Linked DNA regions of Schizosaccharomyces pombe. The protein of the gene in region 3 purifies or fractionates together with the protein of the main gene of each other region. This does not show direct contact. Each region holds a gene or a part of one and is shown on either strand. Other genes may lie near its edges. The genes, in order: sum3, prp19 and dsk1.

Region 1 (5,330 bases), on a different chromosome or scaffold from region 3:
TCCGGGATTAAATTAACTCTTAACAATGTTTAGAGCAAGAGCTTCATTCGTTTTGTTGGTACTTTGGATCTTCGGTTGTTCCCTATGGTTTTTTTCTTTTATCGCATTCCCAGTGCGCAAGGACTTGTGAAAAATTTTCGCACCTTCAATTGTACATATTTATATCCCTTGTAAATGCGTCTCTTTTTGTTCTCGGTTAGCTTGCTTGTTTTACAAACCTGTTTCCTAACTTGTCTTTTCTACATTTGTTTTCGGTTTTTCTTTAAAAAAAAAAAAAGAGAAGGACTACTTGCTTTTCATCAATTTTTTATATTATATAAAAACATAAAGAAAAACGAAGAAAAATTGCAATTTTTTGATGAAATTGTGCTGTGATCTGTTTCCTTAATTTTTGTTCTCTTTAATCTCAACAATCTATTGAATACTAAGTTTAAGTATGGTTGTTTATTCTTTTAATCCTAGTCATGGTTACTCATTAATATTCGTTTTTCAATTAATTGAAAAGTTACTTATTTAATTGAGAACGTAAAAACATAATCATCAAGCATTTTTCTTCAACATTTACTTAAGTTACCCTTGACATTGTCCTCACTTATTAATATGTATGTCGTCAAAGCATATAGGTCCAAGTGGTTCACCATTTATTTCTAATTTTTTATTTAATTATTTCTTTTGATTGTGACTACTGCGACACAATAAATAAACAATTGTCTAGTCCAACTAGACCCTTAAATACTTTCTGTATCAGTGATCATTGTAGCTGCGTTACTTAATCTTTCGTATATATTTCTAGTATTTCTGACTGTACATATCACTAATTACATTCCTTAATTTTACTAATAACTAATTTGCCTAATAACATGTGTATAGTTTATTATTGCAATAAAATTTATTAATTTGCTCTAGCGCGCATCCTATTATTACAAATTGCAGAATCGTAAACCTTTTCCTAAAGAAATATTACCCAAGAACCACAATCCAACAAAAGAGAGACACTAACCTATTTCCAAGTTCTCTCGAAAAAAAGAAACACAGACTCGTAAAAAAAGATCCATCATTGATTTTTAAAATCATGAGCTCAAAGCCTGTAGAAATTTTCAACATATCAATAGATATATATAAAATATGTATAATATATGTCATTTTGTATGCCCGTCGTATTCGTACATCCATTTCGTCAATGCAAATGTTTCAAATATGCATATTCTATTTAAAAAGTCCCGTGAATAAATCATGCACGCATTGACTTCTGAAACTTTCGCCTCATCTTATTATGCAATAAAACACAACACCGCATACTAAATTTTGCCGGATCGTTTTTACATAACGCTTCCACAACCGCAACGATTAAAAAGCACACCCAATGAGCATCCGTCCAAGCCCAGCTTAAAAATGAAAAAAACCGGACCTAAACAAAAGACGTTTCGTGCAACTCACTCAATCACAGTTAATTAAAGCCAAATATTTCGCCCTTTCTGACATCCTCGCGCTTTGCAAATGTCAGCAAAACAATGGACACAATACTTCGGCCTCTGACTAAAGGAAATCATCAGAAGCCTGTGCATAACACAGATGCACGTAACCCAATAAAAATATTTTTTTAGGAAATTTACCACCAGGATTGAGCACTACCACTGTTGTAAGTGTTACCATGATGAGGAGTACGGCTTTCAAAGCCACCGTATCCAGAGTAGCTAGGGCCAGAGCTATAACCACTACTACTATTAGTAGGGCGACGGAAGTCGCGAGCACCATAAGCATTGCCTCCACGACCACCACGACCACTGTAACGGCCACCACGTCCATTACCACCAAAGCTGCTTTCACGAGCCATGGCGATCAAAAAGCTGGGGCACTCTTGATTGGCCTCTTGCAACAACTCAATCAATTCCTTAGCGATACCCTTGTTGTTACGGTTGAAAAACGCAACAGCTTGACCAGTGTTACCAGCACGACCGGTACGACCAATTCTATGCACATAGTCATCAATGTCAGTAGGTAAATCGTAGTTAATAACATGCGTGACATTGGGAATATCTAAACCACGACTGGCGACGGCAGTAGCGACCATAATGGAAGTACGGCCAGAGCGGAACAATTCCAAAGCGCGCTCACGCTCACGTTGGGTACGGTCACCGTGAATGCTTGTTGCGGGGAAGTTGCTATTCAACAAATAGTCGGTAAGTGTGTCAGCCATGCGTTTAGTCTCTACAAAGATCAAGGTAAGACCCTCAGGAGGTAAGGTGTGAAGAATATCAAGCAAGTAACTACGCTTTTCAGAATCTTCAACGTGTACGACCTTTTGAGTAATATTCTCCGAAGTGGAACCGACACGACCAACACTCAAGAAGACATAATCCTTTAAAAAGTCACGAGCTAAAAGTTGGATATCACGGGGGAAAGTGGCAGAAAACATGAGAGTTTGACGTTCTTCAACGCTTGTCATGTCAGCACCTTCCACAATGTGACGAATTTGAGGCTCGAAACCCATATCCAGCATACGATCAGCTTCATCCAACACCAAAAACTTAATGTTGGCCAAAGAAATACGACCACGATCGATTAAATCAACCAAACGACCAGGAGTAGCAGAAAGCAAGTCGCAACCTTGGTCAATTTGGCGGATTTGAGCACGAATATCGGCACCACCGTAAACAGCACAGGGACGCACCCAAGAACGGTAACAGAATTTACGAGATTCCTCATGAATTTGACAAACTAATTCACGAGTGGGAGCCAAAATAAGGGTGGTAGGATAGGCTTTGCGAGGACGATAACCCATACCGGCATCCTGATCAACAGGAACAGCGGCAGGTCCTTTATCGAAAGCAAGAGAAAGAATAGGGAATAAGAAACCAGCAGTCTTACCGGAACCGGTTTGGGCACAGGCCATCAAATCACGTCCGGATGTGACAATAGGAATGGAGTTCTTTTGAACTGGGGTGGGCTGAGTGTAGCCAGAGAGTTTAATGTTTTGAAGAAGATGAGAGTTCAAAGGAGGAGAAGTGAACTCATTAACAGGCTCGATATCTCCACCGGAAACTTCAACAGGGATGTCATCATACTTTTCGAAGTTAATACCAGTTGAAACTTTGGTACCATCAGCAACGGCACCAAATAATTGACGCTCCAAAAGAGTGTTACGGGCTCCGATAACGTGTTGACCATCTCTCCATTGGCCAAATCCACGGTTGTTACGATAACCACCGCCGTTGCTGTAACCACCTTCACGACCGCCACGGTAATTATTTTGGCGGCCCTCGCCACCACCATAATGACCGCCACGATTGTATTCACGGCGACCTCCATAGTTAGAGGAAAACTCACTAGGAGTTTGAGACCTAGAAGAGCCACGAGATGAGACAGACTCATCGTCGCCAACAGCTGGAGCTGCGCCAGCGCTTGGCTTATCCCTAGCAAAAGGAGGAATATACTTCCTAGGTCTGCTGATGTTTGTTTTTTGCAATTTTTCAGTCACAGAACCAACTGAATCTACTTGTTGCTGTACATTGTCGCTCATAATATTTTTTGTATTTCTGAGTTGAAGTGTTTGGTTGAGGTTAGGTTAAGTTGGCCATTAAATGCTACCAAATACACGATGGGACTGCCCTTTTTAACCCCTCAGCAAATTAGATATGTCAACGAAAACAATTTTTAACAAGGATAAAAAGTCATTTAAACAATTTAAAATTATTTTTTAGTTAATTTTGATACCAATATGTATGGGTATTAATAGTTTTTTTGAAACCTTAAGTCAGTACACGTGCTATCATCTGACTACGTTAAAGAATAAAAATTAATTGAAAGGTTTTACTATATAAATATATTTATAATCTATATAACTAAACATTTAGGCACCGTAATGTAGGTACACGATTGCCACTCACCAAAACTAAAAACCACCGTTATGCTCGTCTCTAAATAGCAGACTTAGTATACATATTAATCATTTTAATTGGAATAAGAAAATTCAACTTTCAAATTTACAATTATTAGCATACAGTTTGCTTTCTGTTTAAGGTCGTAGTGATATTCAGGAGTACCAGCCATGGTTTTGCTGTCTTCCCATACCAACCAATACTACAAAATATAGAAATTGATATTTTTATTGTGCCTTGCAACTTAAGAAATTGCTAAAACCTTTAGGCAGAAGCTTTGTAAGCGGTGCTGTGCATTAAAACCGTATTTATTCGACAAATCCGAACATATTTATCTATATTGAAGAAGTCCAAAGAAAATCACATTTGTTAAGATTATTAGATACGACATAATTAAAAGCGTTTTTCAAAATGATTGTCCTTAATGCTCTGTCGTACTTGGGTATCGTTTTGGGATTCATAGGCATGACCGTGAGTATCGCATCAGCTTTGTATTACATTTCAGAGTTTGTAGAAGAGCACTCTAGGCTCGCAAAGGCGTTTTTATGTCGGTTGGTTTATTTTATTATGGCGGTAATGGTGTTTTTGGTTATATTTGATGGTTTTCCTTTTTGGCTCTCGGCATTCTCCATTTTCAGTCATTACATTTATAAAATCAACTTTGATACCTTTCCTTTCTTCTCATTTAAGAGAATGAGATTTTTGCTAGCATGTTTCCTTATTGTCGCGAATCATATCTTATGGGTCCGCTTTTTCCAGGTGCATGAATTCCCTATTAAACCTCGTGGACTCACTTACGATTTTGTTGGTCAACGCCTTTTGACCTCTCGTGCTTCCTTTTCACAAGTTGCTTCATTTATGGGGGTATGCGTATGGTCTGTTCCTATTGGTATTTTTGTTTCCTTTACCGCTGCTGACAATACACTTCCTACCATTACAACCCCGTCTTCCTCGTCCCCTGATGCTTATTCTTCTGGATCATCTCGTCGGACGTCGAATGTACTTCGACAAGCTTATAAAAAGTTAGGTATCTTCGTCGAACGTAGTCTTACCTCTTTGGGGTTGAGTGATCGTTCAAGTGAACGTTACGTCTGAGTTGAGTTTGAGGGATGCTTGTCTTTTTAAATTAAGGATTCGTTTAACTTTACTGTAATGTCTGTACTTCTTATGTGATCATTTACTCACAACATGTTGCATCTCTTTTTTTTTTCGACTTTTATTTTGTATATAGTTTTCTTCATACTTTCTTCATCAACACTTTAACTTTTTCTCGGTCAGTTTGAGCGAACAAAATTATCCTTCTTTTACGTTTTGTCGTTGTTCTTTAGGATTGCCTATTGTTATTTTTTTCAACATGGAAATTGTATTGTCAATTTGACTTAAATTTCATCTCGGACGTGTAGAAAATGCATTTAAAGGAAATAGATGACGCCTTTTCATATTCATATGAAA
Region 2 (5,007 bases), on a different chromosome or scaffold from region 3:
TTCATCTTTTGTCTAGTGGGTAAATACTTCCAAAATCCGGGTATATTGAATCGGTGAAATCGTAAAAATTTGCCTGACAGAACAACGTCTCTATTCTTGATAATAGGTTTTCTATGAAAGGCATTGTTAGCCTCTAGTTTCCTAAACCTAGACTCCGCCAAAAATATAGATGTTCCGATTAATTCCTTCAACTTGCTTTTAATGATTTGTAATAAAAACTCCGTAGCGCCAGCAGAAAGTGGATTGCTTGGAAAAGGCGCTTGTCGATCGAAATGATAAAACCGTTCAGAAATCTTTCTCATCTCATTTGTATCAAATAAATCCTCATTTGAGGTTTTGTTTTTGACACTTTGCGCATTATAGTGTGAAGTTTCAACCCCTGAGATATTCGAACCCTCAAGAAGTCTTTCCGCAATTTTTTCTTCCCAATCAATCCAATTCTGACTCATTTCCATTGCAATAGGTATATCTTCATATTTCAACAAACATTGACTGCGCACGGATGCGTCTACGTGATTACGAAGCCAACGTAGCTCATTCTCTAAGGCATTTATGTAACGCTCGATCTGCACAGCGCTTTTAGAAGGAATGGAGTAAGCTATCAAATCTAAATCTCTTTTCCCATTTCGAGCAACCGCTTGAAAAAACAGTTCTTTTTCTTCTGCACTCCAGTAAGTTCCATCCACACAAGAGCCACTAAGAACGCCCCATTGTTCTTCTTCCAAATCAAAGTCACGCTTATTTTCAGTCTCAACTTCGTATTGTTGAAGGACGTCTAGGTATCGTTCATCATGAGTCATGTACAATTGCTCACTTGAGCCAATGATAGATGCAGTGCTTAAAGGCGTTGACCCTTCACTCTCATTTAATCCGTTTATTGAAGAAGACATGTTATTATTGAGAACATGATCAACGCTAATGAAATAAAAGCTGTTGCAGTCTTCTTTTTAATATTTTTTTGTTTACCACATTACCAGACGTGGTTTGTGTTCTGACAAAGATCAAACTCGGTATTCTAGTGAATTTCGCTAATATACTAAAATCCAAAGGAATATATAAATGTAGAGTATCTCTAAAATTTACGGGTTTTAAACATAATAAAAAAATATAAATCGTGCTAAAATCTAGCTTACCGCTTATTGAGTACAAATTTTTTGCGCATGTACAAACACCTTAATCAAAACTGTGAACAAAAAATTGAAAAAGGCTGAAATGCATATATCAGACCAAGAAAAACTCCGTATATGTAATGATCTCTTGTAAAGTAGTTTGTTAACTTCCAAAAATTCTCAACCTGAAAAACGAATGGACAATTGAATTCAAATATCATTTTATACCAACCATATTCATAAATATAAAAAAAGGGCAAGATGCGTCAAACAACGTGTGCTTGAAGTTCCTAATTTAACGTCTTATTTTCTTCTTTAAACGACGTATTTTTTCTTTTCTTCTGTCCTGTGTACGTTCAAATTTGCTCTCATACCGAAATTTCTTTTTGGCGGCATTTTTAGGCTTGTGGGGACGCAAAGGAACATCTGGTGGAGGAGAAATACGAGGCGTGACAAAACCTTCTTTAGGATAAGCAATTTCTTCATCATCATCGTCCTCTACAATTTCTACCGTAACATGCTTATCATCTTCGTCATACTCAGTAGTTTTAGGCTCCATTGATGACTCTTCCTCGCTGTCAGATTTAGATGAGGAATCTTCTTGCTGTGAAGATTCTTCATCATTTTCTAGCGAGCTATTCAACTCTTTAGAGAATGCTAATCGCTCAGCCAGTTCTCTTTTGCGCTGTTCTCTGAGCTGAATAGTGTTAGTGATATACTCAAGATAGTATTAGAAAAACTTACAGATTTCCTCAACGCTAAACGTTCTTCGCGTTTTTGCTGCTCCAATTGAACTTGAGCATGCTTTCGTCGTTCAACTTTGCGTTTATGAAATCCAGTTAAATACTCTCTGTAACAAGTTAGTAGCAATCCCTTTATGATATCCATACTTTCGCTTCTCTTTATCAAAGACGATCTCCTCCAATCTTTGCTTCTTCCCTTTCTTCCTGCTGTAAATCTCACCTCCACGGGTTAGTAGAGATGTATTATCCATGATGCAACAGTTCGTGAGTAGCTAGAAGAGAGGGACAATTTATGGGAATCTGTAGTGATTTTAAGTAAATTATCTCCAATTCTATCCAGTCTCGTAATGGTCCAGTAGATTTATGAAGACGAGAGGTACTGAAACCCTACTATGCCTTGTACGTACATTTGCACTACTAACTAGAAAATTATTTGCAAAATGCATCGCATTTGCCTTATATTATATACGGATATTGGTATAGTGCAGTAAACGATTAGTTGGCTATGCATTGCTTTCCTCTAGCTATTACACACAGAAACCAACGTGTGCCGAATGTTTTGCTCAATCAGTGGAGAAACGCCAAAAGAACCGGTGATTTCTCGTGTAAGTGGTATGTTTGTACAATAATTTCCCTGTCTGACTGAATGTAGGAAATGTTTACGAGAAGCGCTTGATTGAACAAGTTATTCGTGAAACGTCTAAAGACCCTGTTACTCAACAGGAATGCACGTTGGAGGACTTGGTTCCTGTAAAGGGTAAGATTTCCTTCTTTATTATTGAATGGTTAAGAATTTCAAGTAGCACTTATTTTTTTATACGTGGAGTACTGAATATTCTGAAATTGGTTTGGAAAGTAAAACCCTGCAATATTGGTTGAAGAACTCGTTTATTTTCTTTTTTTTGTTGATAATGTATTTTATTGCATGATTGATTTGTACTCGAAATTTTTTAATTTTACAGCTTTATATTTCTCCTTAAAAAGTGGACTATTTAGTGCATGTCAATATCTCGGGGCAGAAATTAGGAAGGTTTTTAGAGAATTATAGAACAACCTTGTCGGATTTATCAAAACAAATCTTTATCAAAATTAATGTGGAGTTGTTGAGGAAAATGTATTAATACTTTAGATTTTTTTTGGTTTTTGCTCTCCAATGCGATTTATATTTACTATATTTTGATTGTACTGACCATTCACATATAAAGCGAATCAAATCGAAGATAATTGCTAACCTTTAAACAGTACCTGATTTTGTTAGACCTCGACCTCCTTCTGCCACTTCATTGCCTGCATTGCTGTCTCTCTTTCAAGAAGAATGGGATTCTGTCGCGCTTGAGCAATTTGAACTTAGAAGAAATCTTACAGAGACGAAGCAGGAGTTATCAACGGCATTGTATTCGCTAGATGCTGCGTTAAGAGTTATATCTCGGCTTACCAAAGAAAGAGACGAAGCTAGAGAAGCATTGGCGAAATTTTCCGATAACATAGGCACTGTTTCCTCGAAAACTATTGAAGTACAAGAGGTAGAGATGGGCGAAAGTGATGACCAGCTTAAAACTAGCTTACGCTCTACGGTGGAAAAAACATTTCAAGAACTTTCTTCCAAAAGGAAACGTACAAAGTTACAACCTAAATGGGCGACTGACGATGCTGTGAGTCAGCTCTTGCAAGCTACTCCTTCTACTATCTTAGAAAATTTGGAAACAGAAAGCACTACGTCTTTCTTCCCGTCCCCTGAAAATTCTTCTTTTGTATTATGTCTTCATAAGGATGAACTTTTATGTCTAGATATCCAATCCAACAGTACTCTCAAAATTTTTGAAGGATCAGCTTTAGCGTGTTGTTGGTTGACTTCTTCCAAGATTGCTGTCGCTACTGCTGATGCCATTTCAATTTTTGAATTTCCTGTTTCCTCATCTGGTTTACAAAGTGTGGGTGAACCTACTTCGTCCATTCCTATAGACGAAAAGGTGAACTTCCTTCAAGCTCATCCAAGTGGGGAATATTTATTAGCAGCATCAAACGAAAAGTGTTATATTTTCTCCCTGAAATCCCAGGTTTATAATATCACCGTTGCTCAACACATTACATCTCTTGCTGTACATCCGGACGGTAACCTCTTTGTCGCTGGGTTAGAGAATGGCGAGTTACGCTTTTTTGAGACTTCCTCGGGAAATGAGCTTACAAAATTTGGACCACATTCAAGTCCAGTTAAAACATTACAATTTGGTGAAAACGGTTATTGGCTTGTAGTAACAACTAATGATGACTCTGACATTTTCATTTGGGACTTAAGAAAATCTGAGCTTGTTCAAAAAATACCCCTACAAACCAAAGTCGCAGCAGTGTCATTAGATATTACTAGTCAACTTTTGGTAAGTTCGGATGGGGAGACTCTCTATGTACATATTTATGTCAAATCTTCAAAGTCTTGGAGATGTATGAGTCAAACCCATGTTTCCTCTATTTCTAATTTGGTTTGGTTAAATGAGTTACACCAGTTGTTGTTTAGTACTTCAAATGGAGCCATTCTCCGGTTGGGTTAACCCAATTTTTAATCCTTTAATTATGTGCTCCTCCATTAGGCTTTTCGTATTTAGTAAGATTTTGGCTCTTTAACTTAAGTGATTTCCTTCATAATGAAATATTTAGGCAAACTATTATTTTTCAGATAGATGTATCATTAAATTTTGACATTTGGTTTAATTGGCAAAAAATAATTTATGTGAGTTAACTCAAGTGTCAGAAACAGTGGGAGCCTCAGTTGTTTCTGATGCTTCTGGTTCAATTAAACTGACTTCCAGTAAATGATTTTGTAGTTTAGTAAGAGTTCTTTTAACTTTCTCAAGATCAGGCTCGCTGTAATCGACAGTCGGAAAAGACGTGGAAAGAGAATTAGTGAGCCAATATGATTTAATTTGTCGAGAAACATCCAGTAACTGTTCTACCGCGCGAACCATGGACACAGTATGGCATTCAATCTGGTAAACCTCTGGTGCTACCGTATATTTATCTTTGCCTTCATTTATAGCAATATCCAGTATGTCTTGAAACCTTGACAAAATAGTTAGTGTAGCATTGTCAATAGACGAATTTAAAGTATTAGTTCGCTGAACTAGCTGCCGTTGGAAACTGTCTGAAGACATACTAGCTTT
Region 3 (5,733 bases):
ATTTTAATTAACAGACAAATTGGCGTGAAGGTCATAGCGTCTCTATTCCTTACTTAAATAACTAATTTACTAAAATCATGTTGTAGTGTAGGAGTTCGCTACTTTCAGAAATTAAACGACGAACACTCCGAAGGTTAAACAATCATTTTATTTTAGAAATGAGTAATTTCATAACTCTTTTACAATAGCACGCAGGACTGTCATAATTTACAAATTCAATAACTGCGAACATTTCCATGATAATTTCGAGCTGCAATTGCTGAATTAAAATTATTTTATTTTAATTGATTTACAGTATACAACATGATAAAATGCGTTACTTAAAAGGAATCGCTTAACTTCAGCATACTTGCACCTTGCAGGTAAAGCCAGGCCTTCACAAACCCAGCACCATTTTAGCTGCTAAAATGGCAGAAAATGAGAATCATGTACTTTCAATACGAATGTCACACCCATACTATTCAGAAAAAGAAATAAGTCGAATTTTGTCGACGCGAGATCCCAAAGAAAATAATTTGCGAATGCAGGCGTTCGCTTGGATATCAACACTTTCAAAAACTTTAAAATTGTATGCTTTTCCTCAAAATTATCTAGAATCTAACTTTTTTTTAGCCCTGTAAGGACCAGCGGCCTTGCAATGCTTTTATACAGTCGTTTCCAACTATTTTTTCCCGTGAATGAAATTCCTTTGCTGGTATGTTATTTGGATGTCTTTCGCACATGAGTATGCTGTGCTATTTGAAATTTTACGTATTCTGATATAAGAATATTCTGAATGCTGTACATTGGTCATACTATTAAAAAAGACTACAGTTTTTAATAATGTTAGCTCAGCTACTCCAAGTTATAAACATCATATTCTCTTGATTTAGGCTCTTTTTCTTTCAAAAATAACTAACACATTTAGGAGTGCGCTACTGCTTGCTTAGTAGTTGCTAGTAAAATCGAAGATACGGCCAAAAAGTTTCGTGATATTCTTTTAGCACATTATCTTCAAAAGCATCCAGGTTCTGAGGTCGATGCTCATTCACAAGTATGTTACAAGGTGCGCAATAATTGTTTTTTGTTTATAAGGAGACTTGCTTACAGGTGTATTAGCTAATCGAAGAGAACAAGAAGAGGATTCTAGGTTTAGAAAGAATGACACTGGAATTGATTTGTTTCGATTTTCGAGTCCGACATCCACACAATTACATGGTAAAATTTGCAAAATCACTGAAATGTATGACTGCTATTCATTTTACCTTATAATTTTCGAGTTAACTAATTTACTTTCAGTTTCATCTTCCACGGCAAGTATAGCTTGGAATGTCTGCACTGATGCTTATAAAACATACACAATGTTAAAATATCCAGCCCATATTGTTGCCGTCGCATCGATTTCTATTGCTTGCAAGTTACAGCAACTTCCTCAACCTATAATTCCCAGATCGTTCTTCGCTCCACCAGCACTAACGGAAGCAGTGATTGCGGATATACTCGATCTATATATGCATTATCAGCCTCACACTTGCATTGGTAATATGTATACAACGGAAAAATTACTTGGATTATGTGTTGACTTCCAACGAGCCCAAAAAAACTCTGGCCGTCCTCAAAAACCACCCCAAATTGACCCTCATTCTTCTTCTTTAGCAGATGAATACCGTGAGTCAAATAAGAGACTTCAAGAATCCAAAGAAAGTTGTGCCAGATTTATTTTAGACTGCGATAGAAAGTATTTTAATACCGAATTTGAAAAACGAATGCTGGAAGAAAGGAGAAATAAAGGTACGGTTTAATCTAATGGTTCCTTAATGAGTTATCTTACCATCGGTTTGTTCCTTCTTTCGACAGCATTCTGAACAGTATATTAATATGTGACATTACAAGTTACCAATTTCCAATTAACTTCCTTTTGAATGACAAAACTTTATTTTATGCGTTTTCTAAACATAATATGATTTAAAAAGCAGCTGACCTAAACCCTGCTATATCTTAAATATTCATTAAGTAAAAGGAAATTTCGTTCAAATTTCAGTGCAGTAAATGTTGATCAAAAGAAGGAATCGTGATAATCATACGTAACCCATTTCAGAGTGAAAGGTGTCATGCTTTTTTAAAGCAATCACGCTAATGGTGGGAAATTAAAAAAGGGACGATATCGCAAAAAAAAACTATATATAAAAAAAAATCATTTACTAGCGCTTCAAAACCAATATCAAGGTAAACACTAACGAATTTCAGTAGCCCATCCGGGTACATCTTCACCGGTTGCTCCAGTAGTCTCGATTTTGAACGTAGGATCAGCCACTTCGCGCAACCATGGAGAATTGCTCATGTAACCAGCATTGGTTCGCTTGGCAGGATCAAAACATAACATAGGAGATAAAAAGTCTGATATTTGTTGAGCCAACTCGGCTGAAAAATGGTATTTTTGCTCCAAAACATCTTTTAAAGGCCAAAACTTCAATTTATGAATATTTCGGAGTTCACCGCGACGGTTAAATAAATCGCGGGAGTGCTTTCCTGAAAGTGCCATTTGCTTAGGATAATTAACCAATAACTCAATAATTTGGGCAATGTGGTCATCCTCCTTAGAATAAGAATTCCCATTCCGTGGATCGAAAAGGTAATCGCCGGTTAGCAATTCAAAAATGATACAGGCAAAACTCCAGCAATCAGCGGAAGCTCCCCAGCGACATCCTAGAATTACTTCTGGAGACCTATACTGACGGGTTTGCACATCGTTGGTGAAATGCTTCCGTGTCCAGCACGCGTTACCGAGATCGGCAATTTTAACAGTGATTTTTGGAACGGGTTCCTGAGAACCGTTAACACCATCAAGTATAAGAGAATTATCTCCACTAGAAAACGGAGAATTAGGATGAGAATTATGCTTTTGAGAGTCACGAAGGCTGATTTCTGAAACAGCACCTTCTAATGAAGGAAAGCGGCTCAAAGTGGAAGTAAAAGGACTGCTAGGAATGACCTGGCCAGCAGGCTTAGAATTCTTAGTTGGATTTTTTGCAAATGTCTTGCGTTCTTGGGCAGAGTTATCTACAGATTGGCCACGTTTAATAATTGGAGCTTTGGCTGTATAACCAGTGTTATTTCTTGTTTTTGAAGAAGAGGTATTAGAAGTGGGGGAGGAAGTTGTTGCAGGTGCCTCAATATGTTGCAAGGCATCCTGATCAATGCATATTAAAACATTTTCGGGTTTAAGATCAGTATGAATGATCCCGCATTCTCGATGCAAGTAATCCAGAGCGATGAGTAATTGGTAGGCAATTTGCTTTACAATACCCACAGGTACTCCTCGATGGCCGTATGACTGTATCAAACTTAAAAGATTCTCACCGAGAACTTCGAATACCATACAGACATGAGCTCCATTAGGACCACGATGCACAAAATAATCGAGCAAAGAAATGATATGCTTTTTGCCCAAATGCTTTTCGTCCCCTTCTCTAATTTTCTGCAAAATGCGAATTTCATCAATTGAGGTCTCTCGATAGTGCTCTGCTGAACGCACCACCTTCAAAGCTACTCTCCGTTTGGCAGCTCGATCATATGCAAGCCAAACCGTTGAAAAATGTCCCCAGCCTAATTTTCTTTCAACGACATATCGACGGTGATGAAATTCTTCACCAATGTAGACTGGGTGGTATCCACCATAGTGATAGTCCTCTGCATTTTCTTCGTGCGTTTTTACCTTTTCCACCATGCTTTTTCCGTCTACTTCAGCATTGACCTTTTTATTAACATTTTTTCCATTCGTGATCACCTTTTCACTGACATGGTCAACTATTTCAGTGTGTCCCGGTTGTGACACTTTCGGTGACAAACTCGACCCGTCACTTCCCATTTCAAAATGGCTGGCTGCCCCGTATGAAGAAACTACTGATATGTCCCTCCAGCTCTTAAATTAAAATATCTGAGATATGTGAATACACCAATTCCTTCGTTGTTGTTGTTGTTTGTTCTGGTTATAAATACGGTATGGAGTAGTATTTTTAGTGCGAAAATCAACACGGGGAAACACCGTGGAGTCTTAGCACACTACCGAGGAAACTTTGCGCATTAGGAAGAGCGTTTCGATATAGTAAATAACAAAAAATGGGAAAATGGTTTACTAATTATTTTACGCCAGTAGGAGAAGCCACCTTTACACTCCGTTACTGTACCATAAATATTTTAATAATACTACTTAAAAATCCGTATATATGAATACCAATGACTAAGGCATCACTAAAAATATCAGCAGTTGATAGAATATGAACCCCCTGCGCTTTCATCCCATCGCTATCCCTTACTAACTACTTTTACCGAAGTAGCCCAGCCGTTAGAATTCCATAAGATGTGTTAAGGTCTTCCAAATTTATATCGTTATCCATTATAACTGTATCCCATTCAGCTCTTAGATCTCGACAGGATAGCTAGAAAAAATGTAAACAATTCTTGAGTCGTTGAAAAGAGGGATATTTAAGATCTGTTTTCTCTCTCAACATACGGCGTTCTTAAAATGAAAATTCTCAGATAATGTTCTAGCTTTACGGCATTCACACCTACGGCCCGAGATCTACTACCTACTCACACTAACCGTGATTCTACGGGCAAGACCTGGACTCGAAAACATTCAATTACATTGATAAAAACGGGATATAATAAATTGACAAGTATGGCCTGTGCTAACAGTTATTTTTGTTGAGGTCTTAGCAATGTATTATGGTAAACGGAAATCATATGTAAGGTTCATAACCAACCAATAAATATAAATGTCTATTTGAAAGGTACTTTTTTTGTGATGATCAGAAACATAAAGGAAACGGAGATCAACAAAAGTAATCATTGAGGATGATGAATTATTAAAGAAGTCACAAAAAGACAAAAGAAAGAGGCAGCGGGTAATAGAGATCATTTAAAACAAAGTCCATCGTTTCTAAATATCTAAACGGCAGCAAACTGGTTAAATTAACGAAAATAACAATAACAACAAGTAAATGCTGAGGCCATTAACCCAAGGCAACAAACCGCGGGCATGGTTTCTGAATAAAAAAGATGAATATAACAGAAATAAGAAAAACAAAAACTGGAAAAGAGAGGGTCAAGCAAATCAACTAAAAAGCGGACTTCTATGACGAATTAATCCTTTAGACAGTGCTTGCTCATTTGTCGTAATTTCGGCCCATATAAAAACAACATAAAAGGAACTGGAATAAGCCCAACTGCAACAAATCCGACCAGAGAACCAGCCCAACCAATTCCCAAATTATTGAACATTTGGGTTGTAAAAAGAGGAAATGCCGCGCCAAACGAACTTCTAAGTAATGTATTGGCCGCGATTGCAGAAGCAGAACATCCACTATAACAATCAATGATATAATTGATTGTTTGTTGAAAAATTGTAATGATTCCAAAGCCAATAAAACTACCTGCCAAAGTTGGAACAATCCAATGAATCCATGGATAATTACCAGTCCAAGCAAGCCAAAAGATGCCAATGGGAAAGACAATGCAACCGATCATCATGGAGGGAAGTCGTGCTTCAGGAACAGGTCTTCCTTTATTTTCATCCATCTTTTTAAAATAGTAGGGCTGGAACAGGGCAACGCTAGAGCATCCAATACAAACACCAACAAAAATAGCCAAATACGGAAGAGATTCAACACCCAACCTCCATTTTCGACTCTCCCCAAAAATAACTGGGTATGCTTCAAGTAATCCATAAAGGATACCATATACGAAAGCGGT

The links.
Region 1: the proteins of dsk1 (region 3) and sum3 purify together in Schizosaccharomyces pombe (affinity purification with mass spectrometry, with the first as the bait; one study listed by BioGRID). This does not show direct contact.
Region 2: the proteins of dsk1 (region 3) and prp19 purify together in Schizosaccharomyces pombe (affinity purification with mass spectrometry; 2 studies listed by BioGRID). This does not show direct contact.

The regions. Positions count from the first base shown.
Region 1 is NC_003421.2:973,152-978,481, forward strand, and holds sum3 (translation initiation RNA helicase Sum3), read right to left. Parts: upstream 3,563-5,330; 5' UTR 3,521-3,562; coding exon 1,610-3,520; 3' UTR 848-1,609; downstream 1-847. Other genes in the region: SPOM_SPCC1795.12C (uncharacterized protein), read left to right, coding at 1-11; protein SVP26, read left to right, coding at 4,290-4,973. UniProt on the Schizosaccharomyces pombe protein: ATP-binding RNA helicase involved in translation initiation. Remodels RNA in response to ADP and ATP concentrations by facilitating disruption, but also formation of RNA duplexes. Inactivation of ded1 blocks mitotic cell cycle progression at G1 and G2/M.
Region 2 is NC_003424.3:5,130,836-5,135,842, forward strand, and holds prp19 (Prp19 complex subunit, ubiquitin-protein ligase E4 Prp19), read left to right. Parts: upstream 1-2,387; 5' UTR 2,388-2,406; coding exon 2,407-2,464; exon of another isoform or gene 2,465-2,504; coding exon 2,505-2,609; intron 2,610-2,948; exon of another isoform or gene 2,949-3,094; coding exon 3,095-4,398; 3' UTR 4,399-4,507; downstream 4,508-5,007. Other genes in the region: RNA polymerase I upstream activation factor complex subunit Rrn5, read right to left, coding at 1-890; rRNA exonuclease Rrp17, read right to left, coding at 1,405-1,806, 1,854-1,959, 2,000-2,103; srb6 (mediator complex subunit Med22), read right to left, coding at 4,588-4,998. UniProt on the Schizosaccharomyces pombe protein: Probable ubiquitin-protein ligase involved in pre-mRNA splicing. May also function in DNA repair.
Region 3 is NC_003423.3:823,967-829,699, forward strand, and holds dsk1 (SR protein-specific kinase Dsk1), read right to left. Parts: upstream 3,967-5,733; 5' UTR 3,848-3,966; coding exon 2,213-3,847; 3' UTR 1,782-2,212; coding exon of another isoform or gene 1,279-1,781; 3' UTR 1,223-1,278; coding exon of another isoform or gene 1,099-1,222; 3' UTR 1,034-1,098; coding exon of another isoform or gene 908-1,033; 3' UTR 839-907; downstream 1-838. Other genes in the region: lsc1 (Lsk1 associated cyclin), read left to right, coding at 408-568, 613-694, 908-1,033, 1,099-1,222, 1,279-1,781; SPOM_SPBC530.15C (spermidine family transporter), read right to left, coding at 5,125-5,733. UniProt on the Schizosaccharomyces pombe protein: May play an important role in mitotic control by altering cellular location, degree of phosphorylation and kinase activity. Abundant expression accelerates the exit when cells are in M-phase and also delays the entry into mitosis when cells are in G2.